Nothobranchius furzeri: one gene and its partner. The protein of the gene in region 1 interacts with the protein of each later gene in a pairwise test. Links are inferred from orthologs where the notes say so. Each region holds a gene or a part of one and is shown in the gene's direction. Other genes may lie near its edges.

Evidence for each region.
Region 2: the proteins of tchp (region 1) and ndor1 interact in binary tests that used the Homo sapiens proteins (3 or more experiments, as listed by UniProt). The two-hybrid records come from large-scale screens. The link is inferred for Nothobranchius furzeri from reciprocal best matches to the Homo sapiens genes TCHP and NDOR1.

Annotation. Positions count from the first base shown.
Region 1 is NC_091757.1:45,561,927-45,568,048, forward strand, and holds the start of tchp (trichoplein keratin filament-binding protein), read left to right. Parts: upstream 1-2,756; 5' UTR 2,757-2,879; intron 2,880-2,936; exon of another isoform or gene 2,937-3,023; intron 3,024-3,162; 5' UTR 3,163-3,166; coding exon 3,167-3,363; intron 3,364-4,222; coding exon 4,223-4,433; intron 4,434-4,524; coding exon 4,525-4,581; intron 4,582-4,902; coding exon 4,903-4,971; intron 4,972-5,236; coding exon 5,237-5,410; intron 5,411-5,488; coding exon 5,489-5,601; intron 5,602-5,676; coding exon 5,677-5,743; intron 5,744-5,824; coding exon 5,825-5,997; intron 5,998-6,079; coding exon 6,080-6,122. Other genes in the region: gltpa (glycolipid transfer protein), read right to left, coding at 1,840-1,942. UniProt on the Homo sapiens protein: Tumor suppressor which has the ability to inhibit cell growth and be pro-apoptotic during cell stress. Inhibits cell growth in bladder and prostate cancer cells by a down-regulation of HSPB1 by inhibiting its phosphorylation.
Region 2 is NC_091746.1:70,906,345-70,911,722, forward strand, and holds part of ndor1 (NADPH-dependent diflavin oxidoreductase 1), read left to right. Parts: coding exon 1-190; intron 191-268; coding exon 269-396; intron 397-488; coding exon 489-700; intron 701-772; coding exon 773-880; intron 881-956; coding exon 957-1,071; intron 1,072-5,378. UniProt on the Homo sapiens protein: NADPH-dependent reductase which is a central component of the cytosolic iron-sulfur (Fe-S) protein assembly (CIA) machinery.

The DNA of each region.
Region 1 (6,122 bases):
AGTATTGTAAATGTTGTATCCTTAACTGAACACTAGGTGGCAGCAGAGCACTGCTAATATATGTGGAGGTGTAGAGTGGAGTTCTGGGGAAGTTCTGCTGAAGGTTGTAAGATGAATGCTGTGTGTATGCTCATCCCTCTTGCTGTAATAATGTGGATAAAGTAATTGCCTGCCTGCTTTACCGACTAGAAAAACATAACAGTAGAAACGTTGATTTTTGTCTTTCTTTCTTTTCTTCATGAAGAACAATTTGTGATCTGCTTCACTTCAGAGTTCCGACTCATAGCATAAATTCAAACAAAACAACATAAAAATCAATAAAAATGTATACAAGTGTAAATATGAAACAAATTCACTGACTGACAGTTACGTAATTCATTTAATTGTAGTTTTATTTGGGTTTGGAACACATAAAAAAGGTTTACACGGTCTCGTAGCCCAGGCTCCACATCTTTTCAGAGGTGCAGCTTGATGATATTTATTGATATATGTAAGGCATAATGCTAAATTGTAATCATAATCAACATGTTAACTTCCTACCCCTAATAAATGTGTAAATCGTAACTCAACAGCTAATGGAACATTTTTGGTTCTTGTTTTTACATTTCTATACTGGGTATGAAATAAATCTATGTTAGTTAGAGCTGTTGTCATAGTTTTACAAGTCGTTATCATCTCATGTCTTTAATTTAGAGAGTGGGTTTGATGACATCAGTGACATGAGTCCCGACCCCACACAGCTCGTGTTGACCCTCATGAATCTTTCCAGGCCCTGAGCTGTTAGTGGAAACTACTCATGACTGAGTCCTCTTTATTGTGCAGATGTGACGCTTTACCACAACAATAAAGGATACAGATCTAGTTTCAGAAGCTTGTGGGCCTCTCTTCACATTTTCCAGTGTACTGTCCTCACAGGCCTCATTTTGTCACAAATCAAAATGTTTCTATTGAATATGTTTAGTGTTAATTGGGCAGTACTGGAACATCTTAACTCTCTGTAAGACCTATCAGACAATAATAAATAAATAATAGGGAGTGAGTGGGTCAGTCGTGTACTGTCCAAAGAGCCAAGACGAAGCCTAATTAATCAAACAATGTTGTCAATTTGTACTAGGTGTTCAGGACCTTAATAGCTTGTAGGAAAATTGGCCCGGACATTTCTAGGTCAGGAAAAACAAAGGCCACAAGGAGGAAAGAGTTGAATACTGGTGTCAGGCTTGTTTCATCTCAAGGGTTTCACATGGCAAATTCAATGGACGGACTTTGGCGTATTAATACAGAATGAAGTTGCACAAAGATGCTCTGGTGCAGCGAGCCTCCTTTGAATGGACGAGGGAAACTCAACACCATACTAATCAATTTTCACAACTTTAAATCCAGGCCAGTGGATTAAATTATGCATGCTAACGGATTGTGAACAGCTTGATGGAGAGAAATATGATCCAAATGAAGATAATCATTTGAATTGAGACACATTGTTTTAGTGACCTTTAAAGAACGATTGGGACAGATTTTGCTTCTTTGACAGTTTGTGCTGAATAATCAATGTTTGTCAATACTTGCACCAGTGGAAAAATTAGAACTATAATGTCCACGTAAAAGTATCATAACATGCAGCTACGGGCTTGATGTGACTTGTCGGTGACATAAATTCAGCTTATTATTTACTTATTACAACAATAATTTTGACTTGATAAATCTGTCATAACAAGCTCCACAAATATAGGAAAATGCTGCATCCTGCAGTGTGTGACATCTAAAAGGTTTGTTCACATAATTTCACAAGCACACATTTGTTATTGGTCACTGTCCAAAACTGAGAAGATAAGCTTTACTTACCTAAGAATGGTGGAAGGTAAGACACAGCCTCCAGAAAGGGTCTTGTTTCCACCTGTTTGTCAGCCGGCAGCTGCCTGAACTGGTGCTCCATCAGCAGAGCCATCTCTGTAGTCTGCACACGCTAAAAGCAAAAGGCTGCCAAAGCCTGTGCTGCAGATTCAGTGTGTCACCAAGACTAGGTGAATCAACACACACGCACTAACTCACACACTCAAGTTACCTACTTTCAACCCAGGTCATGGAAGGACATCCAGCTGCCGGCAGGCTCATGTGATCAATTAGTCTACATGGGACATTTATTCCTCTATCTATCTATCTATCTATCTATCTATCTATCTATCTATCTATCTATCTATCTATCTATCTATCTATCTATCTATCTATCTATCTATCTATCTATCTATCTATCTATCTATCTATCTATCTATCTATCTATCTATCTATCTATCTATCTATCTATCATCTATCTATCTATCTATCTATCTATCTATCTATCTATCTATCTATCTATCTATCTATCTATCTATCTATCTATCTATCTATCTATCTATCTATCTATCTATCATCATCATCATCTAACTGTCTGTCTGTCTGTCTCTGTCAGAATAATTATATATTAACGAAATTGATAATAATAATAATAATAATAATAATAATAATAATAATAATAATAATAATAATAATAATAATAATAATTGATAATTTCCACCTGACTGAATATAAGTGACTGAATTTATTTCTAACAACAATTTAAACTGGGAAGATTTTCCCACCATTTTTTGTGTTGAAACTCACAAAAATCACCTAATTATATCCGATTTATTTATTTGTTTGTTTGTTTTATCAGCGCGCGTAAGTTGAGGTTGTGACAAGAAACGAAATGAGAAAAATCTTTTCGCGTTTCTTGAAATGAACACTTTTGGCCTTCGCTTGATTCCGTAGCGTTGGAGGGGAGTAAACCGTCTTTGGTAACTAAGGAAATACCTGAGAGCGGTTGTTTGAATTTGAATTAAAAGCGAAGACGGTTTAAATTCTTAAAGGTAGGCTTTTGTGTCCAAATGATACGTGCTGATTTATTTGAACGGTTTCTCTGCTGAGAGGCTAAATGTGGTTTATGGAGACAAACGAATCTAGGAACCGCCATTGTTTTCGTCAGCTGAGTTAGCATCTACGTTAACACAAACGTTAGAAACAGCGTCTTGTGCTTGATATAGACTATTATATTATTATATAGGCTTTCCATAGACTAATCTCAAGTGATGCCAGGTGTAACTGTGTTTAACTGTTGAGTTGCTTTTTTTTATTTTGTTGCTTGTGATTCAGACTGATGGCTTTTCCCACACGCTCGGTCCATCTGTCCAGTAGGAATCGGTGCCGGGTGCTGGAAGAACAGAAGGTCCAGCGTCGTGAGAGGGAGGCTCAACAGCGCCACCAGTGGGAGCTTCATTCTCGGTACCTAAAGGAGCAGGAAGTCCGCTGTCAGCAGCAGGCGGCCTGGAGCTGCCAGAGGTGCTTCCAGCAAAGGCACGCGCGTCTTTTTCTTACTTTGGGAGGGTGTTGTTGCAGCAGAGACGACTGGGGCCAAATCTACCTCATCGTGATGTAGAAGAGATAGGGCATGGGGATTCTTCTGTGATGCCTTCAATGAGATTGTAAATAATAATGCTCCATTCCGTTAAATCCGTGTTGAAGGTCGAGATAGCCCATAGTTTACTCTGATGAGTGAAAGCGATGCTGCCTAGGCAAAAGCTTGGAAATCTAAACCGGGAAGGGACTGGCTGTCATTCAGACGACTGCAGAATCGTTTCAACTCCACTGTAAATAAAGTCTAATCTGATTTTTATCTGTCTAAAAACTCAAGTCATCATGAGTGATTTTAGAAGGAAATCAAATAAAAAAGGATTCTCACTTAATAACCAATAAATCAGCTGAGCACTTTGTTTAGTCCGGTTTTCTCTGAATCTAAATCCTCACCTACAAAAGCCTAGAAAACAGCAGCTTACCATTTCACCTTCCTCGTTAGCTCACCTTCTACCACTCAGTCATTCAGTTTGATCCCATTTGTTGTCTCGGAGGTCCATAGCATACTGAAAAGTTTAGATCCAAACAAATCCTGACAGACTTGATCCTTTTTGGAAGCAGACTTCATAGCAGAACCACTGAGTCATGTTTTTAATATTGCCCTATCTAGTAATGAATTTCCTAATATTTGGAAATCTGCTTTTGTTTCCCCTCTAGAAAAAAAGAGACATCTCTGTTGTCAATAATTTCAGACCAAATTCTAAAATGAAATGTCTTTTCTTGTATATTCACGGTTTGGATCAGCAGACAAAGATGGCAACAAAAGACAATTGAAGTATTTTTTTTCTCCACTCTTTATTAGCATGTCAGCCTACCATCATTTGGAAGAGGAGGAGCAAAGAAAAGCCTTCCTGTGGAGACACAGAGGGAAGCTCAGAACCATGCTTCAGGAGGAACGAGACCAGCTGGAGGCAGAGCTTCGACAGCTTGTCCCTGACAAAACCACACGAATGAATCAAATGGTGCAGAAAGCTGAAGAGCTTCATTCAGCAAGAGAGGAAACGAGAAAAAAAGTAGTTCCCATAAATATTTTTGTTATTGATGGTCAGTGTTTTGCCACGTATGATTCTGTTCTCGTAACTTCTCTGTTTTTGTGTCTTCTAGATTGCACAGGAGCTTCTGAGAGAGCACTGGAAGAGAAACAATGCAGAATTACGACAGGTAAGTGGGTTTGAACTATTCATGCAAAAGTGATTAAAGCCCCAAATCTGGGCTGCACCAATGTGATTAATGACTCTGGGTATCAGGTAAACGTCTAGTGTGTGTGTGAAGGACCTGATAATCCAGGAAAACAGAGACTTTTTGTTCAGATGTCCATTTGATCTGAAAACTTATAGCTCTAGTGAGGCACACGTTCCATTACTTTCAGTTAACCTGAGTCTAGCCTTTGCTTTAGAGAGTAAAACGCTCTGGTTTCCTTTCCTCTAGGGGTCAGGTTCATCAGCACCTCTGTCACAACTCAGTCTTTAACTCTGTCTGCAGGCTGAGTCGGCGTTACATAAAGATCATGTTGTCAGCCGGTGGCAGGAGCAGGTATCTGAGAAGAAACAGGTAGGATGATCACCCCGAGTGTTCAATTAAACATGTCAAATGATGTTTATGTCAGTGTTTAATCCGTCCAGCCAGCCATTAAAGCTGCCATTATCCTTTTACATCACCAATTATTTATGTAGCACATCTATTTTTAATCAAAGTGCTTATGCATTCTGTGAGCACAGGATCACATCTGAAATCTCAGGTTAATCCAACTCAACGCCGTGCATAGTTAAGAAAGTTTGACACTTGATGTGAGCAACCCGTCTCATCAAACATGCAGAAAGAAGTGACAGAACGAGAGGAGAAGAGGCGCTTTGAGAACGAGCACGAGAGGACTCGAAAAGAGGCGCAGGAGAGGATGAAGCAAGCGGAGGAGAGACAGAAAGAAGAGGAGCGTAGGAGAGCAGAGGCTCTTCGCCAACAGATGGAAGAACTGAAGATGAGGGAGGAAGAGGTTTTTGCAGCTTCAAAAATAACATCTCTGCTTGTCTAAATAAAGCTTTTCTTCCTAACGGTGTGTTGATGCCCTCAGACCTCCCGTCTAAAAAAGGAGCAACAGGTTCTGATGATGCAGCAGGTGGAGCTAGATAAAATAGAAGAGGAGCGGAAGAAGATAGAAGACAGGCGCAAAAAAGCTGAAATGGGGTATAAGCAGCTCTTTCTGTAGATTATTCATCACAAGCTGATCAAACTTCATACATAATTAACTTTACCATCCAGGAGTTTTTTGATTCGTCAATATAAAGCTCAGCTGAGGAGGAAAGCCCAGCAAGTGCAGGAGGAGCTGGTACGGATCAGCCTCACCCTCAATCCAGATATATCTAATGTTTTATGTAAAATCTTTTTAAAAATCTTTTGTGAACGTCAGGAGGTTGACCGTAAGATCATGGCAGCCCTGCTAGAGGGAGAGGAGGAGGACCAAAGGCTGAAGGCAGCGAGGAGGGAAAGGGCGGTCGCCGACGCTGCCTGGATGAAATCTGTGCTTGAAGAGCAGCTGAAGCTGGAGCGCGAGAGGGAGGCTGAGTTTGAAACTGTCCACAGGTCAGCGTCAAGACTCTGCAAAGAAAAGAGAAGAGGTTCTTCTTCGTTTAAATGCAAACAAATATTTCACGTGAACTTACAGGGAGGACGCTCAGCGTGTGTGGGAGAAACGAGAAGCTCAATGG
Region 2 (5,378 bases), on another chromosome or scaffold:
TCACGTTCCACTTCCTGGATGCTGAGACGAAGAGAACCACCGATCCAGCCAGAGTCCCCTCGGACCGAACCGCCCCGTCCGAGTCCTGTCCTTTTCCTGCCAGGATGCTGTCCAACAGGAGAGTGACGCATCCGTCTCATTTCCAGGATGTGCGACTGATTGAGTTTGATATTTCTGGGTCCGGGATCGAGTGCGTACCTTCAGCTGGTCCAGATCCGAATGTGGTTCTGGGATTTGTTCTGGACTTACCTGTGATGTTGCTCAGCAGGTTTGCAGCTGGAGACATTGTGATGATTCGTCCTCACAACGCTGCAGCAGATGTTCGGCTCTTCTGTCAGCTGCTCAGGTTGGACCCAGAATCCAGCTTCACTCTCAAACCCACGGGGAACGCTGCAGGTACTCCGGTGTTCCGGACCGTTTGGGTTAGGATAAATCCGTCTCCTTAGGGATTATTGGGGTCCTAAAGCTTCTCTGATCTGTCCTCTTAGTTCCAGCGGGACTTCCTGAGCCGTGCACCGTGCACCACCTGGTGGAGCGTTACCTGGACATCGCCGCTGTGCCGCGGCGTTCCTTCTTTGAGCTTCTGTCAACGTTCGCCACCGACGAGCGGGAAAGGGACAAGCTGATGGAGTTCAGCTCAGCGGCCGGTCAGGAAGAGCTGCACGGTTACTGCAACCGACCTCGACGCACAGCGCTGGAGGTGGGGACTAAACGGTCCAGAACCGCTGACCCAGTCCGGAGCCTCTGAACCGGTTTGATGCTCGTTTTGCAGGTTCTGACTGATTTCCCTCAAACTACAAGTGAACTCGGAGTGGATCACCTCCTGGACCTGTTCCCTGAGATCCAGCCACGATCCTTCTCCATTGCCTCTTCTCTAAAGGTAGCTCCGCCTCCTCCTCGACACTGGAGCAGGTCTGAGTAGTTCTACTGATCTAGAACAGAACCTCTCTCCACAGGCCCACCCAGACCGGCTGCAGATCCTTGTGGCCGTGGTTCGGTACCAAACCAAGCTGTATAGACCCAGACGAGGCCTCTGCTCCTCCTGGTTAGCATCTCTGGATCCTCAACAAGGTCTGGTTCTGATTTCCTAGATCCTCGGATTAAAATAGTGGAAGTTTAGATGTTTTAGATCATCTGAGCTGTTTGTTTCCACTTAGGAATGTTAGGATTTTTTTTCCCAGCGATCGGATTAACGGTCTTGTTTTGACGTGGTTCACTCGTCTGCAGTGGTCTCTCGTAGGAATGGATGCCTAGTAAGTTGTTCTCTGGGGAAAAAGCTCCGGTTCTCCTGTTTCAGGAACTTGAAGTGAGCCGCATCAGAGTTGAGCTTCGGGGGGCAGGGCTTTTGGTCTTCTGTGGACATCTCTCCTCTGATTGGCTAACAGCAACACGACTCTACCACTGACTGTCTGCTCTGCAACGTTGATGTTTTATCTCCACAAATAACACAAGCCTGGAGGAGTTCTGCTGTGTGGTGGAGTTGCTAATGCTAACAGTTAGCTTCTACTAGCTGAGACGTTCTCTGCCGTTTCCTGGATGCTAAACCAAAAACAGCCTTCCCCGTCGTGAGTCCAGATGGGTGACTCCATGAATGTTAGTGACAGTGTGACGTAGTAGATCTGTCAGGATCTTCTAATCCTAGAGTTTCACCGTCTGTTTTCTATCAGAAGCTACTGCAGGAGATAGGTGTAGGAGACTATTTATCAGAAGCTACTGCAGGAGGTAGGTGTAGGAGACTATTTATCAGAAGCTACTGCAGGAGATAGGTGTAGGAGACTATTTATCAGAAGCTACTGCAGGAGGTAGGTGTAGGAGACTATTTATCAGAAGCTACTGCAGGAGGTAGGTGTAGGAGACTATTTATCAGAAGCTACTGCAGGAGGTAGGTGTAGGAGACTATTTATCAGAAGCTACTTCAGGAGGTAGGTGTAGGAGACTATTATCTATCAGAAGCTACTGCAGGAGATAGGTGTAGGAGACTATTTTCTATCAGAAGCTACTGCAGGAGGTAGGTGTAGGAGACTATTATCTATCAGAAGCTACTGCAGGAGGTAGGTGTAGGAGACTATTATCTATCAGAAGCTACTGCAGGAGGTAGGTGTAGGAGACATCAGAAGCTACTGCAGGAGATAGGTGTAGGAGACTATTATCTATCAGAAGCTACTGCAGGAGATAGGTGTAGGAAACTATTATCTATCAGAAGCTACTGCAGGAGGTAGGTGTAGGAGACTATTATCTATCAGAAGCTACTGCTGGAGATAGGTGTAGGAGACTATTATCTATCAGAAGCTACTGCAGGAGGTAGGTGTAGGAGACTGTTATCTATCAGAAGCTACTGCAGGAGATAGGTGTAGGAGACTATTATCTATCAGAAGCTACTGCAGGAGGTAGGTGTAGGAGACATCAGAAGCTACTGCAGGAGATAGGTGTAGGAGACTATTATCTATCAGAAGCTACTGCAGGAGATAGGTGTAGGAAACTATTATCTATCAGAAGCTACTGCAGGAGGTAGGTGTAGGAGACTATTATCTATCAGAAGCTACTGCTGGAGATAGGTGTAGGAGACTATTATCTATCAGAAGCTACTGCAGGAGGTAGGTGTAGGAGACTGTTATCTATCAGAAGCTACTGCAGGAGATAGGTGTAGGAGACTATTATCTATCAGAAGCTACTGCAGGAGGTAGGTGTAGGAGACTATTATCTATCAGAAGCTACTGATGGAGATAGGTGTAGGAGACTATTATCTATCAGAAGCTACTGCTGGAGATAGGTGTAGGAGACTATTATCTATCAGAAGCTACTGCTGGAGATAGGTGTAGGAGACTATTACCTATCAGAAGCTACTGCAGGATATAGGTGTAGGAGACTATTATCTATCAGAAGCTACTGCAGGAGATAGGTGTAGGAGACTTATCAGAAGCTACTGCAGGAGATAGGTGTAGGAGACTATTTTCTATCAGAAGCTACTGCTGGAGATAGGTGTAGGAGACTTATCAGAAGCTACTGCAGGAGATAGGTGTAGGAGACTATTTATCAGAAGCTACTGCAGGAGATAGGTGTAGGAGACTATTTATCAGAAGCTACTGCTGGAGATAGGTGTAGGAGACTATTTATCAGAAGCTACTGCTGGAGGTAGGTGTAGGAGACTATTTATCAGAAGCTACTGCAGGAGATAGGTGTAGGAGACTATTTATCAGAAGCTACTGCAGGAGATAGGTGTAGGAGACTTATCAGAAGCTACTGCAGGAGATAGGTGTAGGAGACTTATCAGAAGCTACTGCAGGAGATAGGTGTAGGAGACTTATCAGAAGCTACTGCAGGAGATAGGTGTAGGAGACTATTTATCAGAAGCTACTGCTGGAGATAGGTGTAGGAGACTATTTATCAGAAGCTACTGCAGGAGGTAGGTGTAGGAGACTATTTATCAGAAGCTACTGCAGGAGGTAGGTGTAGGAGACTGTCAGAAGCTACTGCAGGAGATAGGTGTAGGAGACTATTATCTATCAGAAGCTACTGCAGGAGATAGGTGTAGGAGACTATTATCTATCAGAAGCTACTGCAGGAGATAGGTGTAGGAGACTATTATCTATCAGAAGCTACTGCAGGAGGTAGGTGTAGGAGACTGTCAGAAGCTACTACAGGAGATAGGTGTAGGAGACTATTTATCAGAAGCTACTGCAGGAGATAGGTGTAGGAGACAATTATCTATCAGAAGCTACTGCAGGAGATAGGTGTAGGAGACTATTATCTATCAGAAGCTACTGCAGGAGATAGGTGTAGGAGACTATTATCTATCAGAAGCTACTGCAGGAGGTAGGTGTAGGAGACTGTCAGAAGCTACTACAGGAGATAGGTGTAGGAGACTATTTATCAGAAGCTACTGCAGGAGATAGGTGTAGGAGACTATTATCTATCAGAAGCTACTGCAGGAGATAGGTGTAGGAGACTTATCAGAAGCTACTGCAGGAGATAGGTGTCGGAGACTATTTTCTATCAGAAGCTACTGCTGGAGATAGGTGTAGGAGAGTATTATCTATCAGAAGCTACTGCAGGAGATAGGTGTAGGAGACTATTATCTATCAGAAGCTACTGCAGGAGATAGGTGTAGGAGACTTATCAGAAGCTACTGCAGGAGATAGGTGTAGGAGACTATTTATCAGAAGCTACTGCTGGAGATAGGTGTAGGAGACTATTTATCAGAAGCTACTGCAGGAGGTAGGTGTAGGAGACTATTTATCAGAAGCTACTGCAGGAGATAGGTGTAGGAGACTATTTATCAGAAGCTACTGCAGGAGATAGGTGTAGGAGACTATTTTCTATCAGAAGCTACTGCAGGAGGTAGGTGTAGGAGACTGTCAGAAGCTACTGCAGGAGATAGGTGTAGGAGACTATTATCTATCAGAAGCTACTGCAGGAGATAGGTGTAGGAGACTATTATCTATCAGAAGCTACTGCAGGAGATAGGTGTAGGAGACTATTACCTATCAGAAGCTACTGCAGGATATAGGTGTAGGAGACTATTATCTATCAGAAGCTACTGCAGGAGATAGGTGTAGGAGACTATTTTCTATCAGAAGCTACTGCTGGAGATAGGTGTAGGAGACTATTATCTATCAGAAGCTACTGCAGGAGATAGGTGTAGGAGACTATTATCTATCAGAAGCTACTGCAGGAGATAGGTGTAGGAGACTTATCAGAAGCTACTGCAGGAGATAGGTGTAGGAGACTATTTATCAGAAGCTACTGCTGGAGATAGGTGTAGGAGACTATTTATCAGAAGCTACTGCAGGAGGTAGGTGTAGGAGACTATCAGAAGCTACTGCAGGAGATAGGTGTAGGAGACTTATCAGAAGCTACTGCAGGAGATAGGTGTAGGAGACTTATCAGAAGCTACTGCAGGATATAGGTGTAGGAGACTATTTATCAGAAGCTACTGCTGGAGATAGGTGTAGGAGACTATTTATCAGAAGCTACTGCAGGAGGTAGGTGTAGGAGACTATTTATCAGAAGCTACTGCAGGAGATAGGTGTAGGAGACTATTTTCTATCAGAAGCTACTGCAGGAGGTAGGTGTAGGAGACTGTCAGAAGCTACTGCAGGAGATAGGTGTAGGAGACTATTATCTATCAGAAGCTACTGCAGGAGATAGGTGTAGGAGACTATTATCTATCAGAAGCTACTGCAGGAGATAGGTGTAGGAGATTTATCAGAAGCTACTGCAGGAGATAGGTGTAGGAGACTATTATCTATCAGAAGCTACTGCAGGAGATAGGTGTAGGAGACTATTTTCTATCAGAAGCTACTGCTGGAGATAGGTGTAGGAGAGTATTATCTATCAGAAGCTACTGGAGGAGATAGGTGTAGGAGACTATTATCTAT